Linked DNA regions of Rattus norvegicus. The main gene of each other region encodes a partner of the protein of the gene in region 2 in a complex. Links are inferred from orthologs where the notes say so. Each region holds a gene or a part of one and is shown on either strand. Other genes may lie near its edges.

Evidence for each region. Proteins that work in one complex are often made in the same cells at the same time.
Region 1: Syncrip (region 2) and Igf2bp1 share a complex: the UniProt entries of both Homo sapiens proteins name them as parts of the coding region determinant (CRD)-mediated complex. The link is inferred for Rattus norvegicus from reciprocal best matches to the Homo sapiens genes SYNCRIP and IGF2BP1.

What each region holds. Positions count from the first base shown.
Region 1 is NC_086028.1:81,413,301-81,416,953, reverse strand, and holds part of Igf2bp1 (insulin-like growth factor 2 mRNA-binding protein 1), read left to right. Parts: intron 1-327; coding exon 328-609; intron 610-1,390; coding exon 1,391-1,525; intron 1,526-3,397; coding exon 3,398-3,520; intron 3,521-3,653. UniProt on the Homo sapiens protein: RNA-binding factor that recruits target transcripts to cytoplasmic protein-RNA complexes (mRNPs). This transcript 'caging' into mRNPs allows mRNA transport and transient storage.
Region 2 is NC_086026.1:98,308,759-98,312,411, reverse strand, and holds part of Syncrip (heterogeneous nuclear ribonucleoprotein Q), read left to right. Parts: coding exon 1-31; intron 32-2,279; coding exon 2,280-2,393; intron 2,394-2,491; coding exon 2,492-2,668; intron 2,669-2,678; exon of another isoform or gene 2,679-3,653. UniProt on the Homo sapiens protein: Heterogenous nuclear ribonucleoprotein (hnRNP) implicated in mRNA processing mechanisms. Component of the CRD-mediated complex that promotes MYC mRNA stability.

The sequences.
Region 1 (3,653 bases), on a different chromosome or scaffold from region 2:
ACACACACACACACACACACACACACCGGCTTCAACATCTTCCAGTGGTCTTAGGTGGAAATTTTTTTTATTATTTTTTATTGGAAGATTTTTATGAACAATAAATGCCAAGGAAGCAAGTGGCATTGCTGTATCAGTTACTTTTCCGTTCGTGTCTTCTCTCTCAGACCAGAAAGTTCCATAGTGATGGAGGGGTGGTAGACAGAAGGTTAGCTACAGTATCCCCAGTGTGTTCCCATCTGTAACTCAGTAGGTGCTTTTTGGGTAAGGACGGCACTTGGTATGGTTGGCATGAGTTGGAGTGACAATTGGACTACCTGTTCCTAGAGCCATCATGAAGCTAAATGGCCATCAACTGGAGAACCATGCCCTGAAGGTTTCCTACATACCTGATGAGCAGATAGCACAAGGTCCTGAGAATGGGCGCCGTGGAGGCTTTGGGTCTCGAGGCCAGCCCAGGCAGGGGTCACCGGTAGCAGCAGGGGCGCCAGCCAAGCAGCAGCAGGTGGACATCCCTCTCCGGCTCCTGGTGCCCACGCAGTATGTAGGCGCCATCATTGGCAAGGAGGGTGCCACCATCCGAAACATCACAAAACAGACTCAGTCCAAGTGAGTGTTGGGAAAGGGAGGTGGATGCAGGGAAGAGGTGGGCCTGGGGCAGCTCCGGGAAGCACATGGTTTGGGCATCAGCACTTTTGTCCTTGGAATGTTGCAAGGGACGGTCACTGTTGCCAGTGTTACCTCTGTGTTAAGAGTTGGGCAAATGAGGAGGCAGATGGGTCTGGGTTTACTGTCTCCAGAAGGAAGAGTTGCTCATATCAGGGTGCTCCAGGATACTCAGTCCTGTGAGCTGGGAGTTAGCCACTGGTCGGGTACTCTGGGATAAGTAGCCACTTCATGATGGTCACAAGCTGGACAGCCTGGCTTAAAAAAGGTCAGGGTTCTTTGGCATAAGTCGTAATTATGTCCCATTGTAGTACGGCCACCTGCTTTCCTGTTGTTACAGATAAACAGTGGTTATGGGGAAGAACGGCTCAGCTCGTATCCCTAACATACACAGTAAATCATGATTATTTACTTGTCGTTGGGGCAGTGTGTCTTCCAGTACATTGTTTGAAAAAGGACACTGGAAGGAGAAAGATAACTGTACAGTCATACACAGCTGGGGAATATCCCCATCCAGTAGCTGTGAGGTGGCCTGCATTGTCCTTTTAGAGATGGGCAGAGCAACACCTGGCTGTGGCTCCCAGGCCCCTTCTTGAGTTTCCTGGTTCTATACTTGACAGGCCCCATTCTAAGGAGAGTGGACGCTAGGCTTTTAATTGACAAGAGATGGGGAAGTCCGGTGTTACTGGAGACAACTAACCAGCTTTCTCCTTGTGGTGCTCAGGATAGACGTGCACAGGAAGGAGAACGCGGGGGCTGCGGAGAAGGCCATCAGTGTGCACTCGACCCCTGAAGGCTGCTCCTCGGCCTGTAAGATGATCTTGGAGATTATGCACAAGGAGGCAAAGGACACCAAGACGTAAGACCCAGCTGCACTCGTGACGGCGATGCACAGCTTTCGTTTTCTGGTTTTTCTTTTTTGGCTGCACCAAGAGTGAAGGCCAGGGCTTTACACCTCCCAGGCAGGAAATTTGCTGCTGAACCATGCGCCGCCCTCAGGCCACCCTCAGACTTGTTAATAGCAGCGAAACAGATTAAGAGAGAGTCGCAGGCTGTACACAAACGTAGGAGTTGGCAGATAAGCTCTTATCCTTGTATAATTGTATAGAAATCTTATATACTCGATGTTTATATTTGTGTCTATGTATATGCATATATGTATATGTATATATATGGGTGTGTGTGCATTAGGGTCTTCGTGAATGGAGTATGCAGGTAGATGTGTTAGCACAGAGGTCAGGCTGAAATCCCTCTATGCCTTTTATAAACTCTTTGGTCACCTCGGTCAGTAAATACAAAGTTCCTACAGAAAGGGAAGCGACAGAGGGCTTGAAATATAGCATGGTAGCATGCAGTGGATGCCTGCATGTGTGAGGACCTGACTGTGGGCCCCTCTAATGCAGAACAGTGCAGGGGATTCACTTACAATAATTTGGTTCTGGGTCCTGTGGAAGGGTGGGGTATTTGAGGTAGGATCCCTGTACCCTGGTTAGCCCTGAACTGCTGTGACCCTGCTCTCTGCTATACCACCTCACCAGGCTTCCGTTTCTACTCATTTTCTTGAGACTGGCTTGGGGTGGAGAGATGGCTCAGCCGTTAAGAGCAGATATTGTCCTATTAGGACCAAACTTCACATCTCACCCATCTTCATACTGGGTGTCTCACAAACTCAAGCTCCAAGCGATCCAATGCCTCATCTTCTGACTGACTTCCACAGGCAACTTCACATCACCCTACCTCCCACACACAATCTTTGAGAAGAGCGGGTCTTCCACAGGCTGTGCTCATGGGTGTTCTTAAATCCGCTGATAATTAAGCATCATCACACTAAGTTTAGTTGTTTTCCTTTTTCACTTGTTTTTTGTTTAGTTTTGTTTGAGACAAAGTGTCTCCATTTGAGGCTGGCCTTGAACTCACAGAGCTCTGCCTGCCTCTCTGCCTCCTGTGCACCGTAATGTCTGTCTAAGTGGTTTTGTTGTTGTTGTTTTTTTTTTTTTTAATTCTTTTAATTTTTAATTTCTTTTTTTTAAAGATTTATTTATTTATTATATATAAGTACACTGTAGCTGTCTTCAGACACACCAGAAGAGGGCATCAGAACTCTTTACAGATGGCTGTGAGCCACCATGTGGTTGCTGGGAATTGAACTCAGGACCTCTGGAAGAGCAGTCGGGTGCTCTTAACCGCTGAGCCATCTCTCCAGCCCTTGTTGTTGTTTTTTAAGACAGCTTTTCTTTTTAGGGTTCAACTAGTATAATAATGCTGTGCTTGTTTGCGGATTGCCTAGGTTAGCCTAGAATTCCTGGATCCTCCAGCTTCAGCCCAAGCAGCTGGGACTGGAAGGCAAATGCCAGCACATTGTGTGTCCTTTCTTTCTTCACCTTAGGGGTGAAGCCTGGGCCTCATGCTGGACAGACAACAGTACTACTGAGCTAAGTCCCCAAGCCAAGTGTGCACAGTTTTTAGTGTGCAGTCATATGACGTTCCATTTGCATGTGTTGACCATGTACCTGTTGCCTGTGATCACAAACATAAATAAAACTGTGGCTCCCGAATTTCAGACTGCAGTCCTTGTCCCCCATTTCTCTGTCCAACACTGAGCTCTGCTGGGTTTGTAATCTTGACAGCTTGGCTCAGGGTTTGTTCTGGGTTCGCATAGTTGGGTAAGTTGGGTAACATAGTTCGGTCTTTGTTGACATCATTGACCAGGCTGTCCCCCACTTCCTCCCAGGGCAGACGAAGTTCCCCTGAAGATCCTGGCTCATAATAACTTCGTGGGGCGACTCATTGGAAAGGAAGGGCGGAACTTGAAGAAAGTGGAGCAGGATACAGAGACTAAGATCACCATCTCCTCGTAAGTCTCTCAGTGGTTTCCTCCTCAGCGGTGGTGAACTCAGGGTGGGGTACAAGGGACCTGCCACTAAGCCTTAGCACAACCCCTTTTTGGGATGAATCGAATTGGAGAAGTGGTGAGATCATTTTGTCCT
Region 2 (3,653 bases):
TAGTAAAGGACCAGATGAGGCGAAGATTAAGGTATGCTTTTAAAACTTTCTGCAGCTTTACAACCCTCCCAGTTATTTAAGAGCTTTGTCAAATGTTCCTGAAGTGTGCCCGGGTACATATATTTCTAAGGTTATTCCTGAAGTGCGCGCGCGCCGCGCGCGCACACACACACACACACACACACACACACACACACACACACACACACACGCATGTGTATTTCTAAGGTTATTGTCTTCTAATGAGTACACTTTGAAAAAAAAGATTGACTGTGTCCACTTTTGGTTTTTGAAAATCACTGCAGTTTGTCTGGCTACTACTGTTCCAACCTGTGTGTGCTGTCACTTACAAAAGTGTAAGAAACATTTAAAGAGGTGGTTAAGTCTAAATGTTTACAGATTACTGATCAACAAAACTGGGAGCAGATTGGCTGGCTGCTTTTTTTTTCCCTTTAGGAGGGCAGGGTCCCAATGAATTTAGAATTTAGTATTGTTTCTTTTATTGGGTTATGAAGGACAGTTATTTCTAAAACCAAGTTTGGTAAGCAAGGACAATGGGTTGGGAGTGAAAGTTTCTTTTGTTGCAGGTTGGTTGTTTTTAAGGTCCTAGAAGATTAAATGGCCTCATTTAGGTAGTGTTCTTGGTGAGTTAGGTGTAGTTCAAAGAGTATAGTTTATATTAGTTTTTAGATTTTAGTAATGTACCACTTCTTTAGGCAAGAGCTATGGTTTAAGAAAAGCAGTTGCTAAGAAGGGCATAAATGTGTGGTATTATACCTCTATTGGAAAAGGAAGCCTAGATCATGTGGACAAGATTGGAGTATGATGTTGTTTGTCAACAGTGTGAGTTTTTACAAAGGATTGTGAACGAATTGAATTTAGGTTCCCAATAAAAATGGGGTTTATAGTCTGTATTGCAATTATGCCAGTGCGATTGGGGAATTATTAATTTCTGAAGAGTTGTGTTTGGATTTGAACTTAGAGCCTCAATGCTTTTAACCACTGAGGCATTTCTCCAGCCCTTCCTTCATAAGAGTTATACCTTTGAGTAAATTTGAGTAATGAAAAAGCCATTTAGATCATACAGTTTTTTGTGAAACTTTGTTAAACGTTTATGAATACCTTTAAAATTGATATATTTTTATAAGTCAGGTTTTTGGGGGGGATAAATTACATCAAGGAAGCATCCTATACATCGTTCCCACAATTTCATATGTAATGCTGTTTGAGTAAAAAAAAAATTTTTGGGAGATTGAGGTGACTTAACATTTTGATAAGTTTTATCTTATGGTCCTTATTTTGAATTGTTAACTAGTTAATAAAATAGTTTTGTTACTTAGAGAACTTTCCTCGTTGATACAGAAGCGGACTTTTGGGCTTATTTGGCTAAACAGGTTACACATGTCCTTTTTGTCACTTTTACCTGTAATAACGGATGAAGAAAAACCCCTAATTGAGTAAAATGAGTTATAAGTTTTAACAAGTTGAGGGAGATAAAAGTTCTATGATTGTAGTTTCTTACTGTTTTTCAAAATCATTTTGGCTGCTTTTCTTCTGAATGAGCCATGCTATTTGTGGTACACAACACTTTGACAGCAAATAATAGAAAAGCTTTTCATATAGCCTTCCAAGTTTATAGACGTGATTTAAGGGGTGGAGGTGACAAAATGCCCACAAATGGTATTGTGTGTCTTTGGGTGGGTTAAGAGTTTATTGGGTAAGAAATACAGAGTTCAATAGTAATCAAATTGTTGCATTTTTAATGAGGTATACTTGTGCGCCCCCCCCGCCCCCCCAGTGTGTATGTGGTATGTGTCTGTGTTTTGAGACCAGTTTCTCAGTGTAGCCCTGTCCTGGAACTCTGTCTTTGTAAACCAGGCTGGCCTTGAACTCAGAGAGATCCCATGGCCTCTGCTTATTGAGTGCTGGGATTAAAGCCATGCCTGCTTTAAATGAGGTTTCTCTTAGCAGACTCAATATATATATATATATCTTAGAAGTTGCTGGTGGGTCGATTTTAATTTTTATTGCTCAGTAATTAATTGGCCAATAACAATGATATGCACAGGATTCTGAAATTTTGATTGTAGGTTACATGAAAGGGAGAATGTTTTTTTTTAATTGGATATTTTATGTAAAAAGGGAGAATTCTAAAACAGATCTTACTCATTTGTATGGAGCAATGTTGCTAAGATTGGTAATATTTGAATGGGATTGACTTAATTACTAAAAATCTGTATTTTAAATGAAGCATTAACAACATTTTGAACTTTTTAAAGGCACTTTTGGAAAGAACAGGCTACACTCTTGATGTGACTACAGGTCAGAGGAAGTATGGGGGGCCACCTCCAGATTCTGTTTATTCAGGTCAGCAGCCTTCTGTTGGCACTGAGGTAAAGAACCTTAAACTTACACCATTTGTAGTAAAAAAAAATACAGCTCTAGTTTCTAAAGAATTGTCCATGATTGTGAATTCATATTTAATTTTCAGATATTTGTGGGGAAGATCCCCAGAGATCTGTTTGAAGATGAGCTTGTTCCATTGTTTGAGAAAGCTGGACCTATATGGGATCTTCGTTTAATGATGGATCCACTTACTGGTCTCAACAGAGGTTATGCCTTTGTCACTTTTTGTACAAAAGAAGCAGCACAAGAGGCTGTTAAACTGGTAAGTTTTTTGTTTTTTTCTTCTCCTTTTTCTCTAGGCTTAATGTCAGTTTTTGCTTAATGTGTTTTATCTGGTGGTTTTTGAAGTGCCGTGTTTTCCTGTGTATATGCATTATAGAAGGGGTATTTGATAAGATTCAGAATCTGTAGATGGTACGGAATTTCTAGTTTGTGCTTCTGGCTTTGGATAGCTCTGGGTAAAATTAAAGGAATATGAGAATTTTTCTTAGACCACATTTTTCCTTCATCACAAATTCACAAAACACCCATTTATTTTAAATAAGTAAATAAATAAGACAGCTCTTAGAAACACTGGCTGTTCTTCCCGAGGCCCCACACTCAACTCTTGAGTACCCACAGGGCAACTCAAAACCATCTGAAACTCTAGTTCTTGGGGATTTGATGCCCCCTTCTGGTGACGCCAGGCATGCATGTGGTGTACAAGTATGTGGACCAAACACCCATACACTTAAAATAAAAAGACAGTACAGTTAAAATTCACAGAAGATACCAGGATGATATATTCTAAGTAGCAACATAAAGGTTTTTTTTTTTTTTTTTTGGTTCTTTTTTTCGGAGTTGGGGACAGAACCCAGGGCCTTGCGCTTCCTAGGTAAGCGCTCTACCACTGAGCTAAATCCCCAGCCTCATAAAGTATTTTTTTTGTGAGCGGGAATGTTTGATTTAAAAACAAGCAGATGTTTGGTGAGAACCTAAATTTCCTAACATTTAAAAATGTATAAAATTATGAAATATTTAACAGAATTTTTTTCTTTTAATTCTTTGAATCAAAAAGATTGAGCCAGGGTGTAGTAGCTCTGAATTTCTGTACTGAGGCATGAGGACTGTCATGATTGAGGCCCCTGTGGTGTGGTGGCGAGAAACCCAATAGGAATATACAGTAGGAAAGAAACACACCCCAATAGCAACAGCAGTAATTGAAGAAATAAAAGCTATTAACTTGAGAGCAAGCAAGGGAGTGTACA